4 linked regions of the Pelodiscus sinensis genome follow. The protein of the gene in region 2 interacts with the protein of the main gene of each other region in a pairwise test. Links are inferred from orthologs where the notes say so. Each region holds a gene or a part of one and is shown on either strand. Other genes may lie near its edges.

Region 1 (7,284 bases), on a different chromosome or scaffold from region 2:
CTATGGCCCTGAGAGGTGAGTGCAATTGGAGACCTAACTCAGGGGAAAGAAGGTGTACCAGAAAACACATTGCGCAGCCTGAATGTAGGAATTAGCCTTTATTTGCTTTTATGCATTATAAAGGAAGCTACAGGACACATCTATAAAAAAGTTTATATGGCTCTGCCTCTGTCCCACATGCACTTTCACTTCACCCAGCACCTCCCCACTACCTTTTACACACCCCTGCTGTGCCATAGCTACACCCTTCTCCTGCCTTTGTTCCACTCTTGTCCCCTTCCCCAACATCCCTCCCTAGAGGCATGTCCATTCTCCAGAACATCACCTAGCACCCTGGTCTCCCTCTCCTGTCACAACCTTTCCTCTGCCCAGCCACTGCTTCTCTGACCCACTCAGAGCATTGTCTAGCTCATTGTCCCCAGTACCCTGCTTCTACTGCATTAGGGGGTGTTGTGCTGAGTCTGGAGCCCAGATCTTAAGATCCACATCTGTCAGAGTCCCTCCCCCTCAGACCCAGTGCCCTACTCTGGATCTGGGGTGGAGTCTAGACTAGGTGGCCCTCTCCCTGCTCAAGCTAGCTAGCACGGAGCCTCTGGCTCCTGGCCTTGTAGACCTCAATGAGCAGGTCTTTGACATACTGGATCTCACGCTCAATAGAGTCTGCCTTCTCTTTAAGCTCACGATTCCTGGCCTCCAAACCCTGGCACTCATCATCTAGTGCCTCATACTCAGCCCGCTTCCGCTGCCGGTACCGTAGTGCTGCTGTCTTGTTCTGATCCCGCTTCTTTTGCTTACGGTCCCCCTTTTGCTGGGGCAGGACTGCTGACTGCTCCAAGGGGTTTGGCCTGCTGCGCTTGGCAGCTGGTGGGCTACCAATATACTCCTCCAGCCGGCCCTGGCCAGGGCACTCCCCACTAGGCACCCCAGTACCATACAGGTTGAGGAGCTCAAGGCAGCCTGAATCGAGGGTCTGCAGTGGTGTGGGGCTGTCAGAGCCAAAGGGTGGGAAGGACCCTGCTGGCCCACTACCATCTCCAAAAGGGAAGTGGAATGCAGGTTGGTGTGAAGGTGGTGTGCTGGGGGCCACCTGGTCCAGGCCCAGACCTGGGGACAGTGACTCCTCTAGAAAGTAGTCTTCCATCTGCTCCAGCTCCTTCTTCAGGAGGGAAGCCATGGCCTCCAGGTCAGGCAGTGGGGGTGAGGGCAGCGATGGGTCCCCCGACTCCATCAGGAGAGAGGAGAAGTCCACCCTCTCCGTCATCCAGTCTGAGAAGCCATCGCCTGTGTGGAGAGAGCAGGTTCACAGGCTGCATGGGGGAGCCGTGACAGGAAAAGAGCAGTGCAGAGCCCTCCCCCCACTCCAGGAGATCCACCTGCAGCTGGGCTGGAGAAGGAAGGACTGCAAGGCAGGTATGTGGCCCAGCCAAGCCCTTTAAGACATGGCCTAAAGTAGCTTTATTTACAACTTGCCTTCTCTGACCTGGCCTTGGCTGGGAGCCCAGTGCCCTCTGAGCAAACATCCTAACCCTTCAGCAACCCCATCATAATCACCAGGGAAGGCAGGGGTCTCCCAGCCTGGCATAAGGGGGAGGGTTCTGATGCCCTTCTGAGGCAGTCAAAATACTTCCTGTAAGCAGCCCAACCAGGTATCCCCCCCATCTGTTCTCCCCCCTCCCCCCCCCCAGTATTCCCTCTCCTGCCAGAACTGTACCTGCCAACACCATTGCCTCTGTGCCATGGGCATAGTGCCCATCCGTGGCCCCTGCCAGGGGCTCATAGTGGCCGGGGATCTTAAGGAACTCGGCCCTCCAGGAGAGGGTGCTAGCTGGGAGCAGGGTCTTCTCCATGTCCAGGGTCAAAGCTGCCAGCATTGACATGGTGGGGCAGGTGTGGGCTCAGGCAGGCCACAGCCCGATGGGAAAAGGGGCCAGAGTATGGCAGGTGGGGAGCACAGTTCCTGCTGGCAAGGGTGGCAGGTGAGATGGGGGCAGAGCAGGAAGACCTGTAAGAGAGAAGAGAAGATGAGCAGGGCTGCAGGCAAGGGGGAGAGGTCCATTCCTTCACCCATCTGGTACAGCACCACTCAATGAGGGGACAACCCTGTGCCTCTTCCCTCCACTCAAACCACATGGCTTCACACAGGCCCCGAGCTGCCAGCAGGACTAAGACCCGCCTGGCCCTCTTTACTCGCGGCTCAGGAGATCATGGAGATGCGCCTTCAGGGCTGCAACGTGATCCCGGCAGCGCCGCCCCAACTAGGGGAAGAGCTCAGAGGCCATAAGGGAATTAGCCATGCAACAGTGTGCCTTCCCGCCGAGGTCCCACCCCGGGGGCTGTGTGACTGCACGCCATCCGCTTGCTAGGGTCCCTGCGTGACCGCAGCGGCTGGTGCAGAACGTCTCCTCCTCTCCCTGCAAGGGGTCCTTGTATGCCACTCCCCCCTGCAAGGGGGTTCCTGCGCGCCCACCGCGGCAGCTGATGCATGTCACTCCGCCCCGCAGAGGGGTTCCTGCGCGCCCACCGCGGCAGCTGATGCATGTCACTCCGCCCCGCAGGGGGGTTCCTGCGCGCCCACCGCGGCAGCTGATGCATGTCACTCCGCCCCGCAGGGGGGTTCCTGCGCGCCCACCGCGGCAGCTGGTGCATGCCGCTCCCCCCCGCAAGGGGCCCCTACGCGCCAACCGCGGCGGCGCCTGCACGCCATCCCCGTGTCGGGGTCCCTGCGCGCCCCACCCCGGTCGAGGTCCCCCCGCGATGCCTGTGCGCGCCTCGTCCCCCCAGGGGTCCCCCGCATAGGGAGGCCCCGGCATGGCGGGGTCAGCGAGCGCAGCCCGGGGACGCAGCACTCACTCCATGGTGGCGGCGTGGGTGGCGGCGCGGCGCGGCGCACGCGAGTCAGCGTCTGGCTGTGCTAGAGAGCCATGGTGCGCTACGCTCGAGTGCTGTGTCTGTGTGTGCGGAGAGAGACGGAGTAAAGGGGACAGGGAGGGGCCGCTCTCTATATTCCCTCCCCCCTCCCGGGCCGCACCACACCTCGTGTTCCTCCGCCCCGCCAACGGGGTCGTGCGCCCATCAGCCCCCACCCCCAATCCAGCCCGCCCCCTTGCTGTGCCCCGGAGATGCGCGGCTCCGCCCCCCGTCACCCCATGCCGTGCTCCGGGCGGGAGCGAGGGACCTATTTTGCGGGCGGTGACTGGATCGATTGCAGCAGAGTTGCATCAGCTGTGAACAGAAGGAGGGGCTGGGCTCGCCTCTGGTTGGCTGCAGAGCCGCCGCGAGCGGGGTAGCGATTGGCTTCGGGAAAACTGGCCCCGTGATAGGTGCTGTGACAGATGAAATCAGAGAGTAACCTGGGACCGCGTTTGTGTCTGGTGCTAGGACCCCCCCCCCCCCCCCCGCGAGCTTTTAGTATCCCCAGCACCTTTCCAGGGCAGCCCGTGTCCCCCATACTGACTCTGTAGCATCCAGCTCCACCGCTGGGAGCCAGGGTCCTCCAACCCATCAAACTCCAGCACCCATGGTCTGCCTTCTGGCTCTGGAGGAATCAGGTTCGATGCTGCCATAGTCTCCAGCCAAGTGGGGAGCAGGGTATACTAGCCAGTTTAGTGGCCTTGCCCTGCTGCACTGCCATGGACTTCCCTGCTTTGTGCTCCTGGCCAGGTGGGCGCTGGGGGGCAAGCACCCACCAGCAGAGCCCCCATGTGAGATGAAGGCTGGGTGACTGGCTGGTGAGCTGGGCACGTAGCACTAACTAGCCTGTGACCTGAAGCAGGGTGTTGGGTCTCCAGGCAAATACCAGGCTCAGAAATAGTTTTGGGGCTTGCCTGCATGATCCACTCTCACACATCCCACCCCACCTGGAAGCTAGTTCTGGTCTGTGGACTCTCTCGTGTCCATGGGAACAAAAGTCTAGCTGAGCCTGCGATATGATAACGTTAGTCCCAGGATGCAGGGGCATGGATAGTGCAAATTGTTCTCAGTCCACTTCAGCAGCATGGGGAGAGGTGTCAGGGTGTGTCAGATACTAGACCCAATTTGTGGGCAAAATACTGAGGCACTATGTGGTTCCACCTGCTCTCCCTTGTGGGTCCATAAAAAAAGACTTTGAGGGGATCGAAATGGTAGAGGAGTGTGTCTGTAAGGAGGGAATTTGTCTATCCTGCCTGTCCCTGCCCCCCATCTCCTGGAACCCTGGCATCCACAATGGCACCATTGCATCTTCATCATCCTGATCTCAAGAGACACATCTGGCCACAGGACACGTACCTGGCCACAGAGCGGGGCCTCACTAATATCTCCACTGGTGCTGGCAAAGTCCTGACCCCAACAGACTCCTCTCATCATGTGTCATTTTCCCACTCCATTCCTGCTTAATGAGCATCTCTGCCCTTTCCAAGCAGAGTGCTGAGTGCCCTGCACTGAGGGGCAGTTCCAGCACGGCCCTACCCTGCTGGGCACTGGTATGAGTTTGCCAGGTCTCTGAGTTGCTGATCAGGCTGGGCTGGGTTCTTGGGGCAGGGGCACTGGATGTGAGAGTCAAAGCCAGAGGCAGATGCAGCAAACCTGTGGATTGTGTTGTTCTGTCTTTTAGGAAACTGGAATTTAACAGCAGTCAATCCACTAGCCTAGCCCAGTTCACTGCATTTCTTCTCCCCAAAAGGGCCGATAGTGTTATCTTTGGTGTGACCCTCAGGAAGAGGGGGCTATAGAAACTCCCTCCACTAATGGGAAGGGGAACCGGGCTTTGGGTACACTGACAGCCCGATTAGTGTAGTGAATCGGATTATGTCCCTTCTGCAGGAACCTCAGGAGCAGGTTAAGCAGTTTGTCAGTTCTGGTTGTTGCCAGGGGACCAGGCAGGCAGAGATCTCTGTACTCTGACCCCAATTATTCCAACGAAACTAACCCACCTGCACTTAGTCCCCGTCCCCCCCACTAAGATGTATTCAGAGGCCAGGGGGAGAAGAGCAATTCTAGCCATGCTGTCATCTCCCCAGTCTGGCTCAGACCAGCTCCCCTGGCACCAGAATTGCACCATGGCCCTTGTCCCCTGGCTCCTTCTACCATCGACCAATAAATAGCCCAGAGATTGCTGTGAGACACTGGTGCCAGCACAGGAGAGAGCTGGAACACTCACCCCTCCTCTCGGCTCTTCCCCCATGCTATGTCTAGACTGCGAGCTTCTTTTGAAAGAAGCTTTTCCGGAAGAGATCTTCACAGCAAAAGTGCAACAAAAAAGTGATCTGCTTTTTCGAAAGATAAAACACTGACTGGATGCTATTTCAAATATAAGGCCACCAGGAACCAGTTCAGGCAGGGCATTAGGTCAGCAGTTGCTTCCAAGTGCTGTTGCCGAAGCCTAGCTGAGAGACATGCTTAAAGGGACCCCCCTGGACAGCTGTTTTTCTGCTTCGTGCCTGCCTACCTCTCGGAGGGACAGCAAAGCTTTAGCAGTGCGTGCTCTTGTTGCCCAGCTTTTTGGACGCCACAGCATTTTTCGTTTTGCCATGGAGCCAGAGCTGCGTCTGGGCACTTGATGGCCCCACACGGCCATGCTGCAGTTTCTGAAGCAGTTTGTGCAGGCTGCCTTCATGGCCCTCCACAAGCTCGACACCGAGCTCATCCTTGAGACCCTCTCCCTGTGTGCGGGAGCAAGACCCTTACAACCGCATCCCACAGTGGAGAGACGGTTTTGGAGGCCGGACACCAGTTCTTACTGGTGGGACCTCCTGGTCATTGAGCAGTGGGACGACCAGCAGTGGCTCCAAAACTTCCGCATGCAGAAGACCACCTTTTTGGAGCTGTGTGCCTGGCTGGCCCCTGCCCTCCAATGATGTGACACTCACCTGCAGCCCACCATCCCCCTGGAAAACCAAGTCGCCATTGCCATCTGGAAGCTTGCCACCCCACACAGTTACCCATCAGTGGGCAACCAGTTCGGCATGGGGAAGTCCACCGTCAGGGCCCTCCTCATGGAGGTAAGGCACTCTTGGGCTGCAGTCCCTGCAGGGGGTGGGGGGAATCCTTGAAAGGGGGACCCTAGAGAAGGGGGGGTGGAGGGCTGGGGGTGGGGGGAAAGCCCCCTCCCCAGGAGGTTGTGCCATCCCGCACTCACATAGCCCTGCTGCTGGGGGGGAGGTCTCAAAGGGGGTGGTTCCTGGGGTGTTTGAGGAGGGGAGGGGAGGGGAGTGGAGTGGGCCGGGCACCTCCCAAGGGCTCAGGCACTCCCGCTCTCATTCTCTGTTTTGTGTGTTTGTTTGTCTCCTTCTGCAGGTTGTGAGGGCCATCAACGCCATTCTGCTGCGCAGGGTCATTCGCCTGGGAGACCTAGACCTGATCGTCACAAGATTTGCTACCCAGAGTTTCCCCAACCACACTGGAGCCATAGATGGAACCCACATCCCAATCCGAACACCAGGCCATCGAGCGGCCCCAATACATCAACAGGAAGGGCTACTTTTTGATGGTGCTGCAGGCCCAGTTCGACCACCGTGGACAGTTCGCGGACATTTTTGTCAGGTGGTCGGGCAGGGTGCATAACGTCCATGTGTTCTGAAACTCCAGCCTCTATGGGGAGCTGGAGGCTGGCACATTCTTCCCCCGGTGTGACTCTGTGTTTGGGGATGTGAAGATGCCACTGTACATCATGGGCGACGCAGCCTACCCCCTCATGCCATGGCTGATAAAGCCATATACCGGCCTCCTGGACCCCAGCAGGGACCAATTTAATTCCCATCTCAACTGGGCCCACATGCAGGTGGAGTGCACCTTCGGCTGCCTCAAGGAGCAGTTCAGGTGCCTCCTGACCTGCCTGGACGTGGGGGAGCACAACATCCCCTGGATGGTGTCGGTGTATTGGGTCCTCCACAATATTGTGGAGAAGAATGGGGAGGCCTTCTTACATGGGTGGGGGGCAGGGGCTAGCAGGGGCTAGCTACAAAGGGAGGGCCTGTGAGCAGCCATGGACAGCTGCCATCTGCCAAGCCCATCAGTTTGGGGCGTGCATCTGGAGGCCCTGAAGGAGAGTTTCTCTCAAGGTCCTCAGTAACTCTCCCCAGGGCCTCCCCACTAGGTGCCTGTGCTTTGCTCCACTATCCCTTTCCCACAACTCCTCCCTTTCCCCCTTCCCTTTACTCTCAATAAACACACTTGTTTTGATTTGAACAAAACGAACTTTGCATTTTTCTTTCAATAAAACAAACTGGGGAGATGGGGGCTGAGAACCTGTAGGTGGGAGGGAAGAAGGGGGCTGAGAACCTGGAGGGGAGAGGGAGGATGGGGTCT
Region 2 (7,877 bases):
TTTTGGGTATTTCCTACAGTAAATTGTATAGTTATTTGCTCATTCATGTGGGTTTGGTTTTCGGGACCTTCATGTATGTTGATCAGTTTCACTCTGACATCATTGACAATGTTTTAGTCATGGTCTGACAGAGAAGGAAGAAGATTGTCTAGCCCTGGACAGTTCAAAGTTGAATGAAGAGTGGCTGCAAAAGACCAAGCCAGAAGTATGGAAGATGAACCCCCTCGTATCTGAACATCATGGTGGTGTAAATCAGTGTAGCTCCATCAAAGTCAATGGCACTATGTTGATTAACAGTCTGGCCAAACAGGATCTGTTTATTTAATGAACAGCCTGACATATTTCTCAGCTTTCTTCCTAATGTTGGTCTGGATATCAGCTTGATATCAGCTGCTAATAACCCACAGACTCTCTGGCCCTATAGCTTCAGTGCCCCTTTAAATGCTCCTAGTGCTGGTGACTGTTCGTTCATCATCTACATACCAAAAAAATGATCCTCCTGGTGATTCAACAAAGGAAAACATTGCTGGCTTGAGATCTTGGAAGTCTAGAAACCCTCTTTTTTTCTTTCTCTCTGAAGGAATTTCCTTTTTTTTTTTTCATTTCTGAGTTCTCTACCATTGAGGGCAGGAAGTTGTCTATCCATGATCAACAGTGACCAAATTTTGGTTTTCCGGGAATGTTCTTCCTTCCCGCTACACAAACTCCTGAGGTCTGTAATTTGCCTTTTTAGTCTGATAATGTGGCTGGCAGATGCATCAATTTTGCCAAGTCATCTTCTGGAAGGAACACTTTCTCTCTTATGCAATAGCCTTCATTTCCCCACCCTCCTGACTGCATTGACTCCAGCTTCAACATATTTCTAACAATCAGGCTGAGTTAGACTCACCCATGGGACAATAAGCAAACATGTGTGAGCCCATTATGTCTGGTATATGTCCTGAAGCTTTCAATTTCAAATGACATTGTCCAGAAAATGTAGGGACCAAGAACCCAGCACTGTGGTTTCCCTTTGCTTGGCTAAAGAAAATAACATATTTTTACTGAAAATGTGGGATTTAAGCCCTCTTCACTTTGTATACAAAAGACGCTTCCAACAATAAATGAATAGGGGGCAGGAGGGTCACCCTGGTTTGAATCCATCTGACTGGTCTAAAGAAATTGCTTTCATGGATTCTTCAAATATTTCATGCCCATGGAAAGTGCAGTGGAGGTGGATTTTTGGAATGTTATCTCACCTACTTGTATGCAGTGTGTGGCTTGAAAGCTTTTCTCTCTCCCCACCTGGTCCAATAAAAGATATTCCACAGTCAACCTGTGGAACTCCTTGCCAGAAGATGTTGTGAAGACCAGAACTTTAACAGGGCTCAAAAAAGAACTAGATAAATTCATGGAGGTTAGGTCCATCATTACTTATTAGTCAGGATGGGTAGGAATGGTAGCCCTAGCCTCTGTTTGTCAGGGGCTGGAAATGGATGACAGGAGAGGGATCACTTGATGATTCCCTATTCTGTGCGCTCCCTCTGGGGCATCTGGCATTGGCCACTGTCAGAAGACAGGATAGTGGGCTAGAGGGATCTTTGGTCTGATCCAGTATGGCCGTTCTTATGGTATTAAGTAACCCACCTTGTTTCTCTAATATCACCTACTGAAATTCCCCTTTTTCGTTTTAGGACTGGGATGGAATCAATATAATTCCACATACACTCACTGCTTTACTCCTTTGCTACATGGCAATAAGATTTTGTTTGTGTGTTGTGTAACACGTCATGTAATCAGGAACAAGATACTATTGTAGTTATGATGTTGGGATCATTAGAAATGGCACAGATAGATAGTGCTTGGTCCCATGTTCCTTGAAGTAAATGGAATTTTCAGTGCTAGTGTGCCTCATATCAGATCTGGTATGTACACGACCTTCATGTTTCTGGAGATGCAAAATGAAGCCTCTGATCAAAAAAGAATTTTTTATTTATCTTTTTCCTTTTCAGGGTCAATGTTCCTGAACAGGACAGATAAAGACTTTTGTCTTGTTTTGCTTATGCTCAAAAATAAACACATTTTTAAAACATGTTTTTTCTTACAGTCCCTATTTTTTGCAATGATTAAACATAGATTTTTATAAGGTCAAGAAAAAGTATAGGATGCCTCAAAGTGGTAGTGAATTCATCTGGGGGGAGAGAGAATAAACTCAAAGATCTGGTTGATCATTCAATCTCTAACTTCTTTGATCCTACATTCTTTTAAGATGATTAAGATGGAATGCTATACAACCAGCTGTCTAGGCGAATGCTCCTACAATGCCTTATAGTATACTAATCTAGTACCTGCTAATACTGATCACAGATTCCATCTTAGGTACATGACACTTCATCCAACATGTCCGTAATATCTATGTATTTAATTTCTCCTGGGCATGGTGACTTACACGCCTTTTTCCCAAGCCTCCCAGCTGACCCTTGGCCACCCCAGTCTGAATCCATGGGTCAGCTACCACTCCTCAGCACACCTAATGTGATTTTAGTACAGTAATACTGTGGGATAAACTCCTGCATGTAGCTCTTTGCAAAGCAGCATGGAAGAAGCATCTTCTCTGGAGACTTTTAATCCCAGAGTGGATAAAGCACTAAAATATAGAATAAGGAGCAAATGAATGGAGTAGATGATCTTGAAAGTATTTTCCACCACTAACCTCTATGATTATATGATTAATCACCCAGCTTCCAACTATTCCTACAGTTGCCATATTACAGCATTGTGGGAGTTACCAAATTCGTATGAGCTGGCCATTTCATTCTAACTCTCTCTTTTCATATTCAGAATTTTCTCAGAGTTTGACCTTTTGGGCTGAAATTTCTCATGCTCACTCTCAATCTCAACAACGATTTTAATTTGTTTTTATTCAAAAACTTGAAGAAATTCCATTCAGCTCTTTTTCTAATTCTGTAGTTGTGAAGGGAAAATATGTTTTACGTTTAAATGATGCAGTCTGACCTTCTTTTGAGCTTGGATAACTCAAAAGCAGCTTTAAGTCTTTGCACTTGACAGGCAAATAACCTGGAAAGCAGGCTCTAATCGGTGCTAAATTTGAAAAAAAATGGTTTTAAAAGAAGTTATGAACTTGTGAAAACCATGTGCTGAGCATACGCAGTGCTTTGAGTATGCAGAGGCATGTAGTAAAAGCTGTGAAAAAATAAATCTCTCATTGCTAACACTGGTACAGCTCCAACAGTGTTAGCAACATGAGGAATGTTGCTCCTCTTGTACACAAGCCAGGTGTTTATTAGTAGTAGTATTTGTATTGCAAGAGCGTCTAGAGATCCCAACAGAGAACAAGAGATAGTCCTGCCCTAAGGAGGCTCTAGTCTAAATAGGCAAGAGCTCAGGGTAGTTTTCAAAAGTTAAGAATGTATTCTTTCAAAACCATTATTACATGCTGTTAACACCAGTGGCTGCCGAAGCCTCATCTACACACGTTTCCAATGTTGCTGTCTCCAGGGCAGCTGCATTAGTATTAGCATTAATACTCGGATAGGTTTTGGAGGAAAAAGCCCAGTGCAGACATACTTTCAACAGACTCACATCTATCTGATTATTCTCATAGCTTCTAAGGGCTAGACAAAAAAAAAGACAAAGAAAAAAGTGGCAGAATTAACTATCAAAGAGACTGAAATAATAGATTAACAGAGCAGGCAACGGATCTGAGTTCCAGATTGTCCTGTTTTGAACATGAACCCCACGAGGAATAGTCATAGTGTGCTCACGAATCTTGGTTTTGATGCCGTAACTTGGTAACATTGGTGGTTGTACTCAAGATAGATGGATAATGTAGTAAAATGCAATGAATGCTAATGAAAAATAACAAAAACAAACCCCCTCCCCTCAAGTTATTTGCTCATCTGGGTTTCTGCAGTCCAGTCTCTTGCCTTTCTTTTGGGTTTTTGGACTGTACACTCTTCGACTCAGGGCAATGTGCAGTCATGCCTCGCGTACAGCCCGGCATGTTCTCTGAGGTAGTGTGACACGGATGGATTCCATGTGATGTGCTGTCACCTTGCACCACTGCCGCATGGCGATGTTTCCAGGTGATTGATGTCTTGAGGCAGGAAGACCAGCTATCCCCATGGCTTTGTCTTATTTAGGTGCCTAGTACCTCCCCTTCCCCCATACACCCAACCTGATTTTTCACACTTGCTGTCTGGTCACTCTGTCAGTGTTTCTCAACCTTTTTTTTATAAAGTACCCTCTATTTAAAAAAAATTATAAGTATCCCCAGTACCTACAGTTTTCAGACACAACAGTTTTTTCCCCAACATTTCTTTAAACAACGTAGCTGGGCAGGCAATGAAATTTATGGGTGTAAAAAGTACCAAAATAAAGTGCCGTAAAACTTAAAACAAAAATTCAGTTTTCTCCAAATTTCAGTTGTGTTGACGTACCCCCCCAGACTTCTCTCAGGTACCCCTCAGGGTACTGGTACCACTGGTTGAGAAACACTGCTCCAAGTCTTCCCCGGGCAGCAATGGGAGAGCTTGCATCCACTGGGTGGAATGAAAAATGAGCGTCCCTTACCACCGGCTGTGCAGTAGCAGCAGTGGCAAGAAGCCATGGAACCGGAGGGGATTTCGGGGGGCATGGGGAGGGGGCCATTGCTTGCGAAAAAGAAAACCGTGGGGGGGCGGATTTCACTTGCTTTGCAATCTGGAGCGGAGGGGCGGGCGACCGGCGCCCTGCTCCGAGGCGGCAGCCGCTTAGCCCACCATGGGACCCAGGGGGCTTGCACTGCAGCTCCTCTCCCTCCCCCCTCCCTCCCGCGAGCAGGGCCCCGCCCGTAGCCCCGCCCATTAACTTCCCGACGTTCTAAAAACTGTAACAGTGGATCCGGCGCTGTCAGTGCGGCGGGGAGCGTGGGGCAGAGCGGCCGGGAGGCAGCTGGCTGGGGTCGCTGTTGCTTGATCGCCCAGCCCCGCTCCCCGGCTGGGGGTGTCCCTCTCCCTGTCGCCAGCTCCCCTGCGCGCCCCCCCTTCCGTCCCTGCTCCGGCTGTCCCCGTTCTCGTGCCCTGACCCCCCAGGATCCAGACACATGGAGCTGCTGTGCGTGGAGGGGGCCCCCCGCGTGCCCAGGGCGGAGCGCGATCCCCAGCTGCTGGGGGACCGGCGGGTGCTGCAGAACCTGCTGAGCCAGGAGGAGCGCTATAGTCCCCGGGTCTCCTACTTCCATTGCGTGCAGAAGGAGATCAAGCCGTACATGCGGAAGATGCTGGCTTTTTGGATGCTGGAGGTACGGGACCCCCTCCCTCAATCCGGGTCCTGCCACCCCCTCCCTCCCGATCCATCCTGGAGTCCAACAGCAGCTCCTTTGCCTACCCTCCTTGGTCCCCACCGCAGATACAGGCTGCCCGGCTCGGGCAGGAGAGGGGCTATGCTTGCTGGGTGTGGGAGAGAGAGACCCACCCCAGTCTTGAGTGTAAACGGAGCAAAGGATTTAGTGGGGTCGCCTAGCGGTGGCGGCGGTAATGGAAGGAGGACAGTTGGGTTGGGAGAAGTGTTTTTTGGGTTTTTTAAGGTAGGGAAGTCACTTGGTTTGGGGAATCTGTATCAGTTGGGGGGGAGCTAATGGGGGGGCGGTTTGCAATGTCACTTGCTGCCGCGTGAGTTCCAAAGGAAACAATCTGATGGAGCGGGGGAGAGGCTGCTGGTTTGTGGGGCTCGGTCTGTGGTGGGAGGAGTCAATCTTTTGGGGGGGAGGAGGCAGAGGAAATAGTGGGATACGGGGGCATTTGAAAGACCCCCCCCAGGTGAAAGACCCCGGGTGCTTGGGTGGGGGCATGATTTCCACCTTTGCATATGCGGAATTGCAGCATTTCCTGCTGCACCGAGGGGGTAACACAACCTGCTCTCCTCCACACCCTGTTTTGCCTGTAGGGGTCCCTCCGGTTTTACCCCAGCCCGGAAACTGTCCGCTTCAAGGTCTCTGCCTTTCATCGGACAGTTGGGGGGGGGGGGGGGGAGTCCAATGCGGTGTGAGAGAAAGCCTGGGCAGAAAGATCCCAGCCTCCCACGCCGCTAAATTAAAAGGAATGCAATCCTGCGCACTGAACAACTCAAGGAGGAACATATCCCAGATGTCTCTCGCTTTTCATAAATGATCAAGCCCTGAATAGCCTAGATTGGGAGGAAAATGAGATTACACGAGGAAGAAATAGAATCTGGATTGAATTCAGTCTGAGGCTCTTTCCACTTCACTGGCTGTTGTGACATACTGCCTGGGTTTTTTTTTAATCACATGCCGATTCCAACTTTTTTAATTATCCTTTTTCTTAAGTGCACTTTCTGAGAGAGTTACTTGGCTAAAAGGTGTGTTGAGGCCTGATCCTGCAAAGCAGGGACCTCAGTAAAGTGGAAGGAGCCCATAGTAAAGTTGGAGGCGGTATCTTTGGGATTTCCCAATTTAATAGGATTTGCATTAGTAAGCCTAAACGTAGGTCCTATTGAAGTCAGTGGTACAACTTGCATTGACTTCAGAGGCAGCAGGATTTAGTTCTAAATGCTAATTTTTCATTTTTTATTTTGAATGAGGGTGAGAGGGAATGCAGCTAAACTTAAATCTGAAATGAGAAGTGAGTCTATTTTTTTTAAAAGGAAAAAGTCTCTGGCATGCGGTTTTATGTGGGTAGAGAGGACATTGGGAGGCAAAGTTACAGGGTGAAAGAGAAGGATGCCAGTTGCTATAGCACAAGGGGAAAATTCAATATTTTTCTGTTAAAACAAGGAAATATGGCTGTTCATTAAAAGCCTAGTGGCATGTATAGAAGGGGTTGACCTGCAGACTCCTGGGTTCTGTTTGTGCCTCTCATGAATGTGCCATAGACAGAGAAGGGGAGCCAGGAGTTTGAATGCAGTTGCTATCCTGGGCTCTGCCAGTGACTCTTTTTGTGATATTGGGCAAGTCACTTAGCCCAGAGTTTCCAAAAGTGGCAACTGATTCTTGGTGCCTCCTTTTTTGGGCCAGCTGAAGCTACATTGGGACTGGGTTGTTTTTTTTCAGAGGTGCTGAGCACCCCCATTTAAGGAGAGCAGAAAGTGATTGGCACATCTGGTAATTAAGACCTAAATCAGTGGGCCCTCTAGAAGATTTTGGTCTCTAACCTCTCTATTTTCCCTACTTCCCAGAGGAAAGGGAGGTGAACTGTAGCACATTGCATCAAATTCCCTGCGGGTGGTGGGCTGGAGTTACACCAATGGAGAATTTGTCTCTTAAACCTAAAAGGGCTTTGAGAGCACCAGACAAAAGGCTCCACACGTGCCAGAAACTATGGCAACTAGTAGTTTTGAAGTCCCGGTGCAGGCTGGGGCTGCCTTTAAAACCCTTCCTTTCCTCTGTTGGGTTCTGCCAGGTGTGTGAGGAGCAGAAGTGTGAAGAGGAGGTCTTCCCCTTGGCTATGAACTACGTGGATCGCTACCTGTCTTCAGTTCATACTCGAAAAAATCACTTGCAGCTCCTGGGGGCCGTCTGCATGCTCCTGGCTTCCAAGTTGCGAGAGACCATGCCCCTGACTGTGGAGAAACTCTGCATTTACACAGACAATTCCATCACACCAAAGCAGATCTTGGTAACCTCCCCACTCTGCCTGATACAGTCTCTCACCCACTCCCCAGCTCTCTTATCCTCTCTGTGCTGCTGCTTGGGGGCATAACTGCTTCTGACTTCCTTCCTCTGTTCTCCCAAGCACCTTCCCCCCCATGTTCCCCAAATAGCTTCCTTGCCCAACTGGACAAACTACCTTTTGGAAAGGTAGAACTGTCCGCCACACTTAGAGCCACCCTCTTGGCCAAGGTCCCAGGCAGCCCAGCTGTTATTCCCCATTGATTGCTTT
Region 3 (7,864 bases), on a different chromosome or scaffold from region 2:
GGTCAGGGTTTGGCTGGGGAGTGTTGGGGGGGGTCAGGGCCTGGCGGAGGGGTGTCAGGGGGGTCAGGGCCTGGCGGGAGGGTGTCGGGGGGGGCTCAGGGCCTGGCTGGGGGGGGTGTCGGGGGGTCAGGGCCTGGCTGGGGGGTGTCAGGGGGGGTCAGGGCCTGGCGGGAGGGTGTCGGGGGGGGGCCCAGGGCCTGGCTGGGGGATGTCGGGGGGGGTCAGGGTTTGGCGGGGGTGTCGGGGGGGGCTCAGGGCCTGGCGGGGGGGTGTCGGGGGGGTCAGGGCCTGGCTCGGGGGGTGTTGGGGGGGTCAGGGATTGGCGGGGGTGTCGGGGGGGCTCAGGGCCTGGCTCGGGGGGTGTCGGGGGGGTCAGGGTTTGGTGGGGGGTGTCGGGGGGGTCAGGGCCTGGCTGGGGGGTGTCGGGGGGGTCAGGGTTTGGCTGAGGGGGTGTCGGGGGGGTCAGGGTTTGGCGGGGGGTGTCGGGGGGGGTCAGGGCCTGGCTGGGGGGGTGTCGGGGGGGTCAGGGCCTGGCTGGGGCGTGTCGGGGGGGGTCAGGGCCTGGCTGAGGGGGTGTCGGGGGGGGTCAGGGTTTGGCGGGGGGTGTCGGGGGGGCTCAGGGCCTGGCTGGGGGGTGTCGGGGGGGGTCAGGGCCTGGCTGGGGGGGTGTCGGGGGGGGTCAGGGTCTGGCTGAGGGAGTGTCGGGGGGTCAGGGTTTGGCGGGAGTGTCGGGGGGGCTCAGGGCCTGGTTGGGGGGCGTCGGGGGGGTCAGGGTCTGGCTGACGGGGTGTCGGGGGGCTCAGGGCCTGGCTGGGGGGGTTGTCGGGGGGGTCAGGGCCTGGCTGAGGGGGTGTCGGGGGGGAGGTCAGGGCCTGGCTGGGGGAGGTGTCGGGGGGGGGGCTCAGGGCCTGGCGGGGGGGTGTCGGGGGGGGTTCAGGGCCTGGCTGGGGGGGTGTCGGGGGGGGCTCAGGGCCTGGCGGGGGGTGTCGGGGGGGTCAGGGTTTGGCAGGGGGTGTCGGGGGGGGTCAGGGCCTGGCTGAGGGGGTGTCGGGGGGGTCAGGGTTTGGCAGGGGGTGTCGGGGGGGGTCAGGGCCTGGCTGAGGGGGTGTCGGGGGGGGTCAGGGCCTGGCTGAGGGGGTGTCGGGGGGGTCAGGGCCTGGCGGGGGTGTCGGGGGGGGCTCAGGGCCTGGCTGGGGGGGTGTCGGGGGGGCTCAGGGCCTGGCTGGGGGGGTGTTGGGGGGGTCAGGGTTTGGCTGGGGGATGTCGGGGGGGGGGCTCAGGGCCTGCCTGGGGCATTGTCGGGGGGATCAGGGCCTGGCTAGGGCATTGTCGGGGGGGGGGGTCAGGGTTTGGCTGGGGAGTGTTGGGGGGGGTCAGGGCCTGGCGGAGGGGTGTCGGGGGGGTCAGGGCCTGGCTGGGGGGTGTCGGGGGGGGTCAGGGCCTGGCGGGAGGGTGTCGGGGGGGGCTCAGGGCCTGGCTGGGGGATGTCGGGGGGGGGTCAGGGTTTGGCGGGGGGTGTCGGGGGGGCTCAGGGCCTGGCGGGGGGTGTCGGGGGGGTCAGGGCCTGGCTCGGGGGGTGTTGGGGGGGTCAGGGTTTGGAGGGGGCGTCGGGGGGGCTCAGGGCCTGGCTCTGGGGTGTCGGGGGGGTCAGGGCCTGGCTGGGGGGTGTCGGGGGGGGTTAGGGTTTGGCTGAGGGGGTGTCGGGGGGGGTCAGGGTTTGGCGGGGGGTGTCGGGGGGGGTCAGGGCCTGGCTGGGGGGGTGTCGGGGGGTCAGGGCCTGGCTGGGGGCGTGTCGGGGGGGGTCAGGGTCTGGCTGAGGGGGTGTCGGGGGGGGTCAGGGTTTGGCGGGGGCTGTCGGGGGGGCTCAGGGCCTGGCTGGGGGGTGTCGGGGGGGTCAGGGTCTGGCTGAGGGAGTGTCGGGGGGGTCAGGGTTTGGCGGGGGTGTCGGGGGGGCTCAGGGCCTGGCTGGGGGGCGTCGGGGGGGTCAGGGTCTGGCTGAGGGGTGTCGGGGGCTCAGGGCCTGGCTGGGGGGTGTCGGGGGGGGTCAGGGCCTGGCTGGGGGGGTGTCGGGGGGGGGTCAGGGCCTGGCTGGGGGAGGTGTTGGGGGGGGGCTCAGGGCCTGGCTGGGGGGGTGTCGGGGGGGTTCAGGGCCTGGCTGGGGGGGTCTCGGGGGGGGGCTCAGGGCCTGGCGGGGGTGTGTCGGGGGGGTCAGGGTTTGGCGGGGGGTGTCGGGGGGGTCAGGGCCTGGCTGAGGGGGTGTCGGGGGGCTCAGGGCCTGGCTGGGGGGTGTCGGGGGGGGTCAGGGCCTGGCTGGGGGGGGTGTCGGGGGGGGCTCAGGGCCTGGCTGAGGGGTGTCGGGGGGGTCAGGGCCTGGCTGAGGGGTTGTCGGGGGGGTCAGGGCCTGGCTGGGGGGGTGTCGGGGGGGGCTCAGGGCCTGGCTGAGGGGTGTCGGGGGGGGTCAGGGCCTGGCTCGGAGGGTGTCGGGGGGGGGGTCAGGGCCTGGCTGGGGGGGTGTCGGGGGGGGGCTCAGGGTCTGGCTGGGGGGGTGTCGGGGGGGGGCTCAGGGCCTGGCTGGGGGGTGTCGGGGGGGGGCTCAGGGCCTGGCTGAGGGGTGTCGGGGGGGGGCTCAGGGTCTGGCTGGGGGGGTGTCGGGGGGGTCAGGGCCTGGCTGAGGGGGTGTCGGGGGGGGCTCAGGGCCTGGCTGGGGGGGTGTCGGGGGGGGTCAGGGCCTGGCTGGGGGGGTGTCGGGGGGGGGGCTCAGGGTCTGGCTGGGGGGGGTGTCGGGGGGTCAGGGTCTGGCTGGGGGGGTGTCGGGGGGGGCTCAGGGCCTGGCTGAGGGGGTGTCGGGGGGGGGTCAGGGCCTGGCTGAGGGGGTGTCGGGGGGCTCAGGGCCTGGCTGGGGGGGTGTCGGGGGGGGGGTCAGGGCCTGGCTGAGGGGTGTCGGGGGGGTCAGGGCCTGGCTGGGGGGTGTCGGGGGGGGCTCAGGGCCTGGCTGAGGGGGTGTCGGGGGGGGGTCAGGCCTGGCTGAGGGGGGTGTCGGGGGGCTCAGGGCCTGGCTGGGGGGGTGTCGGGGGGGGGTCAGGGCCTGGCTGAGGGGGTGTCGGGGGGCTCAGGGCCTGGCTGGGGGGGTGTCGGGGGGGGTCAGGGCCTGGCTGGGGGGGTGTCGGGGGGGTCAGGGCCTGGCTGAGGGGGTGTCGGGGGGCTCAGGGCCTGGCTGGGGGGGTGTCGGGGGGGGGTCAGGGCCTGGCTGAGGGGGTGTCGGGGGGCTCAGGGCCTGGCTGGGGGGGTGTCGGGGGGGGGGTCAGGGCCTGGCTGAGGGGGTGTCGGGGGGCTCAGGGCCTGGCTGGGGGGGTGTCGGGGGGGGTCAGGGCCTGGCTGGAGGGGTGTCGGGGGGGGGGTCAGGGCCTGGCTGGGGGGGTGTCGGGGGCTCAGGGCCTGGCTGGGGGGGTGTCGGGGGGGCCAGGGCCTGGCTGGGGGGTGTCGGGGGGGCCAGGGCCTGGCTGGGGGGGTGTCGGGGGGGTCAGGGCCTGGCTGAGGGGGTGTCGGGGGGGGTCAGGGCCTGGCTGGGGGGGTGTCGGGGGGGGGGGTCAGGGCCTGGCTGAGGGGGTGTCGGGGGGCTCAGGGCCTGGCTGGGGGGGTGTCGGGGGGGGGTCAGGGCCTGGCTGGGGGGGTGTCGGGGGGGGTCAGGGCCTGGCTGGGGGGGTGTCGGGGGGGTCAGGGCCTGGCTGAGGGGTGTCGGGGGGCTCAGGGCCTGGCTGGGGGGGTGTCGGGGGGGTCAGGGCCTGGCTGGGGGGGTGTCGGGGGGGGGGTCAGGGCCTGGCTGAGGGGGTGTCGGGGGGCTCAGGGCCTGGCTGGGGGGGTGTCGGGGGGGGGGTCAGGGCCTGGCTGAGGGGGTGTCGGGGGGCTCAGGGCCTGGCTGAGGGGGTGTCGGGGGGCTCAGGGCCTGGCTGGGGGGGTGTCGGGGGGGGGTCAGGGCCTGGCTCGGGGGGTGTCGGGGGGGCTCAGGGCCTGGCTGGAGGGGTGTCGGGGGGGGGGGTCAGGGCCTGGCAGGGGGGGGTGTCGGGGGGGGTCAGGGCGTGGCTGGGGGGGTGTCGGGGGGGGCTCAGGGCCTGGCTGAGGGGGTGTCGGGGGGGGTCAGGGCCTGGCTGGGGGGGTGTCGGGGGAGGGGGCTCAGGGCCTGGCTGGGGGGGTGTCGGGGGGGGGCTCAGGGTCTGGCTGGGGGGGTGTCGGGGGGGGGGTCAGGGCCTGGCTGGGGGGCTGTCGGGGGGGGGCTCAGGGTCTGGCTGGGGGGGCGTCGGGGGGGTCAGGGCCTGGCTGAGGGGGTGTCGGGGGGGGCCTCAGGGCCTGGCTCGGGGGGTGTCGGGGGGGGGCTCAGGGTCTGGCTGGGGGGGCGTCGGGGGGGTCAGGGCCTGGCTGAGGGGGTGTCGGGGGGGGCTCAGGGCCTGGCTCGGGGGGTGTCTGGGGGGCTCAGGGCCTGGCTGGGGGGGTGTCGGGGGGTCAGGGTCTGGCTGGGGGGGTGTCGGGGGGGTCAGGGCCTGGCTGGGGGGGTGTCGGGGGGGGGGTCAGGGCCTGGCTGGGGGGGTGTCGGGGGGGTCAGGGTCTGGCTGGGGGGTGTCGGGGGGGGGGTCAGGGCCTGGCTGAGGGGGTGTCGGGGGGGGGGTCAGGGCCTGGCTGGGGGGGTGTCGGGGGGGGCTCAGGGCCTGGCTCGGGGGGTGTCGGGGGGGCTCAGGGCCTGGCGGGGGGCAGGGCTGTGGGCGGGGTTTGGGAGAGGGGCGTGTCCCCGCGCGGGCATGGGGGCGTGGCCAGGGAATATAGGGCGGGGCCAGGCGCGGATCCGGGCGCGTGGCCGGCTTTGGCGCGCACCCTCTCTCCCATCATGCCTCGGGAAGGCCCGCGCCGGAAGCGGAAGTCGACGGCGTCCCGCCCCCCCGTGCCGCTGGCCCCGCCCCCCCGCACCATGGCGCTGTTCGAGCAGATGCGGGCGAACGTGGGGAAGCTGCTGAAGGGAATCGACCGGTGAGGGGGGGCGGGGCCGGGGGCAGAGACCGGCCGGGGGGGGGGGGGGCTGGAGGCAGGGGCAGGCCGGGGGGGGAGGCAGGGGCAGGCCGGGGGGGGGGGCTGGAGGCAGGGGCAGGCCGGGGGGGGGGGCCAGAGACCGGCCGGGTGGGGGGGCTGGAGGCAGGGCCAGGGCGGGGCCGGGGGGGGCTGGAGGCAGGGCCAGGCTGGGGCCCTGGGGTGGGGGGCCAGGCCCGGGGGGGGGGCCAGAGGCAGGGCCAGGCTGGGGCCCTGGGGTGGGGGGCCAGGCCCGGGGGGGGGGGCCAGGGGCAGGGCCAGGCTGGGGCCCTGGGGTGGGGGGCCAGGGGCCGGGCCAGGCTGGGGGGGGCCGGGGCCCTGGGGTGGGGGCCAGGCCCGGGGGGGGGGGCCAGGGGCAGGACCAGGCTGGGGGGGGCGGGGCCCTGGGGTGGGGGGCCAGGCCCGGGGGGGGGGGCCAGGGGCAGGGCCAGGCCCGGGGGGGGGGGCCAGGGGCAGGGCCAGGCTGGGGGGGGGCGGGGCCCTGGGGTGGGGGGCCAGGCCCGGGGGGGGGGCCAGGGGCAGGGCCAGGCTGGGGGGGGCGGGGCCCTGGGGTGGGGGGCCAGGCCCGGGGGGGGGGGCCAGGGGCAGGGCCAGGCTGGGGGGGGCGGGGCCCTGGGGTGGGGGGCCAGGCCCGGGGGGGGGGGCCAGGGGCAGGGCCAGGCTGGGGGGGGGGCCGGGGCCCGGGGGGGGGGGCCAGGGGCAGGGCCAGGCTGGGGGGGGCGGGGCCCTGGGGTGGGGGGCCAGGCCCGGGGGGGGGGCCAGGGGCAGGGCCAGGCTGGGGGGGGGCGGGGCCGGGCTCGCCGCTGAGGGTCTCTCCCCGCTGCAGGTACAACCCCGAGAACCTGGCCACGCTGGAGCGCTACGTGGAGACTCAGGCCAAGGAAAGTGCCTACGACCTGGAGGCCAACCTGGCCGTGCTCAAGCTGTGAGTGGGCGCCGGGCGCGGCCTGAGGGGGGCTGGGCGCGGTGTGTGGGTCAGTGGGGGGGCAGGGCCTATGGGGTGCTGGGCGCGGTGTGCATGGTGCTAACCCAGGGTCTGGTGGGTGCCGGGTGCAGTGTGTGGGTCGGCAGGGGGGCAGGGCCTGAGGGGTGCCGGGCACGGTGTGCATGGTGCTAACCCAGGGTCTGGTGGGTGCCGGGTGTGGTGTGTGGGTCGGCAGGGGGGCAGGGCCTATGGGGTGCTGGGCGCGGTGTGCATGGTGCTAACCCAGGGTCTGGTGGGTGCCAGGTGTGGTGTGTGGGTCGGCAGGGGGGCAGGGCCTATGGGGTGCTGGGCGCGGTGTGCATGGTGCTAACCCAGGGTCTGGTGGGTGCCGGGTGTGGTGTGTGGGTCGGCGGGGGGGCAGGGCCTATGGGGTGCTGGGCGCGGTGTGCATGGTGCTAACCCAGGGTCTGGTGGGTGCCGGGTGCAGTGTGTGGGTCGGCAGGGGCGCAGGGCCTGAGGGGTGCCGGGCGCGGTGTGCATGGTGCTAACGCAGGGTCTGGTGGGTGCCGGGTGTGGTGTGTGGGTCGGCGGGGGGGCAGGGCCTATGGGGTGCTGGGCGCGGTTTGCATGGTGCTAACCCAGGGTCTGGTGGGTGCCAGGTGTGGTGTGTGGGTCGGCAGGGGGGCAGGGCCTGAGGGGTGCCGGGCGCGGTGTGCATGGTGCTAACCCAGGGTCTGGTGGGTGCCGGGTGTGGTGTGTGGGTCGGCGGGGGGGCAGGGCCTATGGGGTGCTGGGCGCGGTGTGCATGGTGCTAACCCAGGGTCTGGTGGGTGCCAGGTGTGGTGTGTGGGTCGGCAGGGGGGCAGGGCCTATGGGGTGCTGGGCGCGGTGTGCATGGTGCTAACCCAGGGTCTGGTGGGTGCCAGGTGTGGTGTGTGGGTCGGCAGGGGGGCAGGGCCTATGGGGTGCCGGGCGCGGTGTGCATGGTGCTAACCCAGGGTCTGGTGGGTGCCGGGTGTGGTGTGTGGGTCGGCGGGGGGGGCAGGGCCTGAGGGGTGCCGGGCGCGGTGTGCATGGTGCTAACCCAGGGTCTGGTGGGTGCCGGGTGTGGTGTGTGGGTCGGCAGGGGGGCAGGGCCTATGGGGTGCCGGGCGCGGTGTGCATGGTGCTAACCCAGGGTCTGGTGGGTGCCGGGTGTGGTGTGTGGGTCGGCGGGGGGGGCAGGGCCTGAGGGGTGCCGGGCGCGGTGTGCATGGTGCTAACCCAGGGTCTGGTGGGTGCCGGGTGTGGTGTGTGGGTCGGCGGGGGGCAAGGCCTATGGGGTGCTGGGCGCAGTGTGCATGGTGCTAACCCAGGGTCTGGTGGGTGCCGGGTGTGGTGTGTGGGTCGGCGGGGGGCAGGGCCTATGGGGTGCTGGGTGCGGTGTGCATGGTGCTAACCCAGGGTCTGGTGGGTGCCGGGTGTGGTGTGTGGGTCGGCGGGGGGCAGGGCCTATGGGGTGCTGGGCGCGGTGTGCATGGTGCTAACCCAGGGTCTGGTGGGTGCCGGCTGCCAACTCTCCATGCTCTGCGCCAGGTACCAGTTCAACCCTGCTTTCTTCCAAACCGCCGTCACGGCTCAGATCCTGCTCAAAGCGCTGACCAACCTCCCTCACACAGACTTCACCCTCTGCAAGTGCATGATCGACCAGGCTCACGTATCCTTCTGGCACGCCCCTCTCGCGCCCAGCGGCCTGTCCAGCTGTCCTCCGGGCTCTCGGCAGTGATGGGGTGCACGCCCAGCAGCCCCCCGTTCCCCCAGGGCGCCGCCCCACCGACAATCCTGAGCCAGCAGTGGCGTCCGGTGGTGTGCCCAGGGAGCTCCTTG
Region 4 (7,064 bases), on a different chromosome or scaffold from region 2:
CCCCAAATGCACAGCTCAGGATGGGGGGGCAAATGAGGTATCCCCCCTGAAATCCAGCCCCCAGCGCCCAGCAGCAGTGCACATCGTTGTGTCTTCCATCTTGTTTGCAAGAAAAAGCCAGGAGGGAGAGAGGACAAGCCCCCTCCTCCCTTTGCACCCCCCCCCCCTTTGCCCCATACTGCGCCAGGGCCAGGGCAGGACAGAACACCACAGGGGGAGGCTCCCGCTGGTTGCTCTGAGGTTAGTCCCAGCAAGACCTGCAGCAGCTCAGCAGGGCACACGCTGGCTCCCAAATTGCATCAAGCCAAGAGCTACAGCCAGTCCGTAAATACCCCAGCGGGTGGCAGGGCCAAGCAGTGCTCGGCCTGATGGGCAGGGAAGGAGGGATGCAATCGACGGGGGACACACGCCGCCAAGCGCAGAGGGCCCGGGGGCTCTGAACCTCCAGGCTCAGAGGGGCCAGGGACTCAGTCCTGGCACAGACTAAGCCCTGGTGGTGTGGGAAGCAGCATGGAGCAGCAATCTGAACAGAGAGGTGGGTACCAGATTCCTAAGTTCTTCTCCTGGCTCTGGGAAAGGACATAGAGCGGGCGGCGGGAGGACTACGTTTTCTTCCTGCCGTGGTTTCTGACGAGCAGCGTGGCCGTTAGGCGAGCTGCTGCCCCCACCCCACCATCTGGGCCTCGGTTTCCCCATCTGTAAAATAAGGATAACCCTACTCCGGTGCTGTTGTCAGGCAGGGGGAGACCCGTGGAGGAGAAGGGCTGAGCATTGTCAGTAATTCAAGCCGGTCTCACCACGTCTGTAATGGATTAGGGAGCCCTTTTTTGGTGTGGGTGTGTTTGGAGGAGGATTATAGATCATTATCGAAAGGGGTTTTCACGCTGGCTCCTGCTTGTTTGTTGCAGATGCTCTGCCTACCTGCCTGCCGCATGTGGCAGGGTGTCCCCGATCACACACACACACACACACACAGTCCCAGCAACCCTCCCCCACTCCCTGGGCGGGTGGGGAGGTTCGGTGGCCAGTGATGTGCAGGTCAGACCACAGGATCATGGTGGTCCCTTCTGAGCTTCAAGACTGAGTCTGGAACACCCAACAAGCAAGGGAGAGTATTGTCTATGGGGGCCAGGGGCGTGTGATGGGGGCAGCCCACTTCCCCCCTCCCATTCCCATGGAGCCCCCAGACTTTAGAGGGGCTTGGGGCAGAGCAACTGAATCTTCACAGAGATGACAAGGGGGCTAAAGAGCCATTCCAGACCCCAGCAGACCCCTGAATGCTGGATCCAGACCGGGCCACATGACCACCCCCTCCTTCCCTGTGGCTTCACAGGCTATTTTTACCCCACCCCACCCTGTAGAATTGAAGAACCAACTCCTTTTGCCTCACACCCTCCTCCAGGGAGTTGTGTTGTTTGATGGGGAAACTGAGGCACAGAGCCACAGCTCCCAAAGCACAGGCTGAGCTCCTCACAGAGCCCATCCTGCCTCTCTCCCTTGTGTGTGCTTCGCTCCCGCACACGTCACCCCACTCAGCTTTTTAATCCCTGCCTCTGAAGATATGTGGGGCTAGTTGGAAAGTCCCAGATCCCTCCCACCACAGCCCTGGCGGGATGCACCGGGCAGACAGGATCAGAGCTGAGGCTGCACTCCTGGGGCATCCTATGCCCAGGCCTGGCAGCAAACGGCCAGAGGGAACCTCCAGGCTCTGCCTCCCATGTGGGAGAATCCCGATTCAACTACCAGGGGCTCTGCTCTGCATCCCAACGGGAGGATCTGCAAAGCGGATCATAGCTACCACATCCAGGGTCAGTCCTAACCTAGCCATCTCCTGCTGCTTGTCAGCAAGGATCCACTGCCTTGTAGATCAGACAGGAGCGGGGGCTTGGTCGGGCAGGGAAGGGCACTGGCAAGGGAAGCAAAAGGACAGAACCAGGGAAAAGGGGGTGAAGCAAAAAGGGGGAAAATTCCCTGCTCCCATCAGGCAGCTTGGTCCCCCCTTCACTGGCTACTGCAGCCAATTCCTCCACTCATCCACCAGTGGGTTTTCAGGGGCCCCTCCTGATCCACACCAGTGGGTAGGGAGAATCAGGCTCAGCATAACCCAACAACAGGCGCCTTCTGCACCACCACGGGCCAGATCCTGAACTCCTTTGCTTCCCCCCTTCCCCAGTAAATTCAGAGCCGCTCCCCTAAAGTAATTCCAGATTGACACCATCCCGGGAGTGGAAAAATCCCGGGGAAGTAAACCACACTCTGTACGATCTCAGGGCTGGATTGCTGGCCTCAGTTTCCCCCCTCCCCCTGTAAATCCAGAGGCTGCAGGTATAGGCAGTGGATTTACCCCAATTAGGGTCAATCCGGAGCAATTTCACAAAGGGGCGGAACGGCTGGTGGCAACCCAACAGAGGTACTCCCGATCTGAGGCGCACCCGCCTCAGCCCGGAGGCATTCTACCGAGCTCAGCCGGCAGCGGAGTGACTCCGGATTCAGGCCGGCGCTCGGAAGCGGAGAAGGCGGCCCCGGCGGGTCAGTTTCAGGGCGCCCAAGGAGACAGCCGTGGGATGACTCAGGAGGCAAACCTCCCCCGATGATGCCGACGCCGGGGTCGTTTTAAGCAGCTGGCTTGTCCCACACTGAGTCATCGGCTATTTCTCAACCTCCCCCCGGCTCGAGCTGGCGCTCCCCAGGCCAGGAGGGATGGGGGGGGGGGGGAACAAAGCGCCCCCGACTCACCCAAAACTTTCAGCAGCTCCTCGAAATTCTCCGAGTGCTTCATCTTCCAGTTGCCGGAGAAGTTGGGCATCTCGGAGGGGAAGGAGGCAGAGCAGCCGAGAAAGGCACCACGCGGCTCCTAGCCCTGGCGAGTCACTTACTAGCCCCTGGCGCCTTCGCTCCCCCCGAGCCTCACGCCCCTTCCCTCTGGCTGGTTCGCCCGGCTTCCCAACCCGCATGCCCTGCGCTCCCTCTGCTGAGTGACTGGCCCTGCTCCCTCTGCTCTCCAGCGCTTTCTCCCTTTATGTGTCAGCTCCCTGGCTAGTCCCTCCCCCTGGCCTCGGGGAGGGGAGAAGTGTGTCTCCAGTCTCACCTGCCTGGGGGGGGGGGAGGGTAGCGACTGATCCCCCACCCCCCACCCAGAGGAGAAAAACCAGTGTGGGTGTCTTAAACAGCAGCCCAGCTGCCTGGTTTGCAAAGTCTCTGCCTTCCCAGCCACCCAGCAGTCAGGACTGTGTCTCCATTTTCACCCCAGGCCTGGGGCATGTGCTCCCATCCCGCCCCCATCTCCTTTCTGGGGCCAGATTCCATCGGTCACAGAGCTCCCCCACCCAGGAACAATTCCATGACCGCTGAAGGAGATAGTCTGGATTGAAATCCGTGGAAATGCGGGCGTGACGCCACCACTCTGACTGGGACAATGACTCCTCTGGCAACAGGGCAAAAGGAATGTGTTCGTGTGTTTGGCGGTGTCAATCCGGAGTCACTCCACTCGCATTGGGAGCTATTCCAGATTTAGGTCAATTTAACTGACAGCAGAATCTGGCCTGTAGGAAACAATCAGGACAGACCAGGAGGGCAGGATGAGATGGGATAATATCAGTACCTCATTCCTATAGCAAAGGTGCCACCGTCAATGTTCCGTTTAATCTTTTCCATCCGTGTGCAGAATAAATTTTGTTATGTGCACCGAGGCATGTGTCAATGTGCACCACTGTTAGAAAAACACCCAGTGATGGGCGCTCTGCTAATCAGCTGGGCAGCACTGGAATTTTTCCTGAGCGGCCATAGAAGTGCCCTGCTTTTAGGGAATGCTGGTCACCGTGTTAGTCTGTATCTGCAAAAACAACAAGGAGCTCCATGGTACCTCAAAGACTGACAGATTTATTAGGGCATCACCTCTGGTGGGGAACAACCCTCCTGACGAAGTGAGTTTTTGCCCAAGAAAGCTTACGCCCAAATAAATCTGTTAGCTTTTACGGTGCCACAGGGTTCCTCGTAGTTCCTATATAGCACTTCTCATCCAAGGGCTGAACAAAGAATCATTGTATTGGTAAGGAAACTGAGGCAAGAAGGAGGGGACTGGAAAGGACATGCCCAAGGCCACTCCAAAGATCAGTAGCAGAGCTGTGAATCGAACCCATTGTTTGTGACTCCCAGCAACAAGACTTTCCTTCTTAACTCTCTGACTCTGCTCAGCTCCTGAATCCAATTGGCTGATAGTTGCAAGGGTCTGAACCCAGAGAGGTTCTGACCAAGCCATACCCCCAGCCTGCCCCAGATCTGTGGGAGTATTAGGATCCAAGCCAAATCTCCCCACACATACACAGCCCCCAGACAAGGTGCTGCAAAAATCAATATGGAAGCTGGAGCCAGGTCTGGAAGTCCAGATCCACATTCCAAAACTCCCCAGAGTCCCAGGGGGGTTGGGTCCCAGGTTTTTTGGCTCTGATGCTTAAAACGATACAGGCCACCTGCAAAACCTGGGTTGGATTTAAAAAGCCATGACATGAGGATCTGGGGTTTGGGTTCAGGCCCATCACAACTAATACCCCAGTTCTACCCCCATCCAGCTGCTACATACCAGCACACGGCAACTCTAGGGGCAAAACCATCTCTTGCCAGTGAACCCCTTCAACGTTTTATTATTGACTTCAATGGAGCCAGCATTCCGCTTCTTCTGACAGAGGTAGGGCAGCTTTGTGGGCAGGCCCTTACCTGGCACTCAGCAGACTAAGCGTTCAATAAAAAGCCTAGGACTTTTCAGCTTAGAAAAGAAGAGTCTAAGGGGGGGATAGGATAGAGGTCTAGAAAATCATGACAGGTGTGGAAACAGTGAATATAAGAACTAGGGGTCACCAAATTAAATTAATAGGTGGCAGGTTTAAAACAAATAAAAGGAAGTTTTTCTTCACTCAGCGCACAGTCAACCTGTGGAACTCCTTGCCAGAGGATGTGGTGAAGACTAGGACTTTAATAGTGTTCAAAAAAGAGCTACATAGATTCATGGAGGTAGGTCCATCAATGGCTAGTAGCCAGGATGGTGTCCCTAGCCTGTTTGTCTGTAAATGGGTGACAGGAGAGGGATCACGTGAGGATTACCTGTTGTGTTCCCTCCCTCGGGGGTATCTGGTATTGGCCACTGTTGGCAGACAGGAGACTGGGCTGGATGGACCTTTGGTCTGACCCAGTCTGGCTGTTCTTATGTTCTCTACCACAGCCATCGTGGGTGACTTGGGCAAGTCACTTAGATTCTCGTGCTGCTCCCCAGCTGTAAATGGGACAATAATCTTCTGTCTCTAGGGACTGTAGATCTTCAGGGCTGATCTGGATCTCTGCTGCCAGTATGTACAGTACCTAACACGGTGGGGACAATGTTCCCTCTAATTTTTTCCACTCGTGTGCAGAATACATTTTGTTTTGTGCACCAAAGCATGTGCAGATGTGCACCACCAGTAGAACCACATGCTGCCGGCAGTCAGTGCTCTGCTAATCAGCTGGACGGCACAGGAATCTCTCCTGATTGGCCATCCAAGCACTGCAGTGGGGTCTTCCTGATTTCAGCTGAAGCCCCGAGGGACTTCTGTAAAGCAGTCCTTGCTGCATTGGACTATGGCCATTCCCACCCCCTATCCATACAGTCAGCATCGGTGGCAGCATCTCTTAAACACCTCTCCTGACCGCATCCCCGTGACACCTGCTGGCAGGAGCCCCTGGGAGCCAGACTGCGAGCAAAGCAGAGAAGACTAAGGGCACGTGTACACAGCAGGGCTAAACTCGAAATAAGCTACGCACTTGAGCTATGCTAATTGTGTCGCTTAAGTCGAAATAGCTTATTTCGAATTTGGGCACATCTACACAGCACTCATTTCGAAATAGAGCCCTCTTCCCCATCCCACCTCTGACTCCCCTTCCGCCTCGCACACTGAGGTTTACAGGAGTCGGAGTAAGACACCCGTTCTTTCGAATTTATTTTGAAAGAAGCGGCTTGCTGTGTAGACGCGCCCTTCAGAATAACATCGGTTATTCCGAAAGAACGCTGCTGTGTAGACATGCCCACAGGGAGCAGCTACACGGCACTGCGAACCCAGCACTGACGGCGCCGGGCCTGTCGGCTCCGTGTCTCCAACCCTGTGGGCGAGTGTCCGTCCGCACTGCAACTCTGCTCTGCAAAAGGACAGGGCTGCCAGGGGACTCCGGCTCTCACCCTCCCCTGCTAGCAGGGTCCCCTGTGTGCTCGCTGACCAGACTCAGCCTGATTTGTGTGTGGACCGAAACAGGGCTTCAGGTCAAACCGGAGCCAGGGCCCTGTGCAATGTAGACAGACCCTGAGAGGAGTTTTTCCTCCAGACCAGGTGGGGAAAGGGGGGAGGGGGAGCTGTTGTGATCTCTAGTGAAGCAATAGCGCCTCCTAGTGGCGGTGAACAGAATAGTCCTAGGGCAGGCTGGAAGCCAAGGAGCTGGGGGCCTGCCTGTGGGAGAACGGGTTGGGGGATTCTTAAAGGGACAGTGTCAAGATTACAAAGTGAGGGGATGGGGGAGGGGAGCATATCTTGAGAGAAAGAAAAAATCGCTCTCTTGGATTTGGAGTAAGACAGGGGACTACCCCACCCCCCAACCCAGACCCACACCCTCCATCTCTCGAGGGAAAAGTCCCTCCTGGTTTGCTTTTCTACAGGGCAGAGTTATCAAGTTTTTCCATCCAAGCCAATGTAACGAGGTGGAGGGGTGGGCATGTGGGAGAGATCCTGGCCTGGTGCCTCTGGAGATCCCCCTCCTGTTTCTAGCACTGTTGCTGATTTCCTCTGTGCCCCTCTGGCAAGTCACTTCCCTCGGCCTCAGTATTCCCACCTGGGAAAGGGGACCAAGAGGCTGCAAACTCGTTTGGGTTTGAGTCTGCGCAGCTCCCAGCACGAAGGGGCCCTGAGCTGGCTGCCACCACACTATAAAATACAGCTTCCTTGCCTGCCCCGGCTGTATCTCATTAGCAGAGCCCCTTAGAAAAGTCATCCTTGAAGCAGCAGGGCTTCTGAATGTGAACAACGCCAGTGCTGGCATTGGCTTTTTGC

The links.
Region 1: the proteins of CCND3 (region 2) and ATF5 interact in a two-hybrid assay, tested with the Homo sapiens proteins (2 studies listed by BioGRID and IntAct). The link is inferred for Pelodiscus sinensis from reciprocal best matches to the Homo sapiens genes CCND3 and ATF5.
Region 3: the proteins of CCND3 (region 2) and EIF3K interact in a two-hybrid assay, tested with the Homo sapiens proteins (2 studies listed by BioGRID and IntAct). The link is inferred for Pelodiscus sinensis from reciprocal best matches to the Homo sapiens genes CCND3 and EIF3K.
Region 4: the proteins of CCND3 (region 2) and CRABP2 interact in binary tests that used the Homo sapiens proteins (3 or more experiments, as listed by UniProt). The link is inferred for Pelodiscus sinensis from reciprocal best matches to the Homo sapiens genes CCND3 and CRABP2.

Annotation. Positions count from the first base shown.
Region 1 is NC_134743.1:2,614,092-2,621,375, reverse strand, and holds ATF5 (cyclic AMP-dependent transcription factor ATF-5), read right to left. Parts: upstream 3,009-7,284; 5' UTR 2,851-3,008; intron 2,003-2,850; 5' UTR 1,878-2,002; coding exon 1,712-1,877; intron 1,282-1,711; coding exon 575-1,281; 3' UTR 80-574; downstream 1-79.
Region 2 is NC_134737.1:9,469,787-9,477,663, forward strand, and holds the start of CCND3 (G1/S-specific cyclin-D3), read left to right. Parts: upstream 1-4,862; 5' UTR 4,863-5,083; coding exon 5,084-5,281; intron 5,282-7,397; coding exon 7,398-7,613; intron 7,614-7,877. UniProt on the Homo sapiens protein: Regulatory component of the cyclin D3-CDK4 (DC) complex that phosphorylates and inhibits members of the retinoblastoma (RB) protein family including RB1 and regulates the cell-cycle during G(1)/S transition.
Region 3 is NW_027465946.1:1,745-9,608, forward strand, and holds the start of EIF3K (eukaryotic translation initiation factor 3 subunit K), read left to right. Parts: upstream 1-4,858; 5' UTR 4,859-4,876; coding exon 4,877-5,016; intron 5,017-5,899; coding exon 5,900-5,998; intron 5,999-7,573; coding exon 7,574-7,694; intron 7,695-7,864. UniProt on the Homo sapiens protein: Component of the eukaryotic translation initiation factor 3 (eIF-3) complex, which is required for several steps in the initiation of protein synthesis.
Region 4 is NC_134734.1:17,810,107-17,817,170, forward strand, and holds the start of CRABP2 (cellular retinoic acid-binding protein 2), read right to left. Parts: upstream 3,006-7,064; 5' UTR 2,807-3,005; coding exon 2,737-2,806; intron 1-2,736. UniProt on the Homo sapiens protein: Transports retinoic acid to the nucleus. Regulates the access of retinoic acid to the nuclear retinoic acid receptors.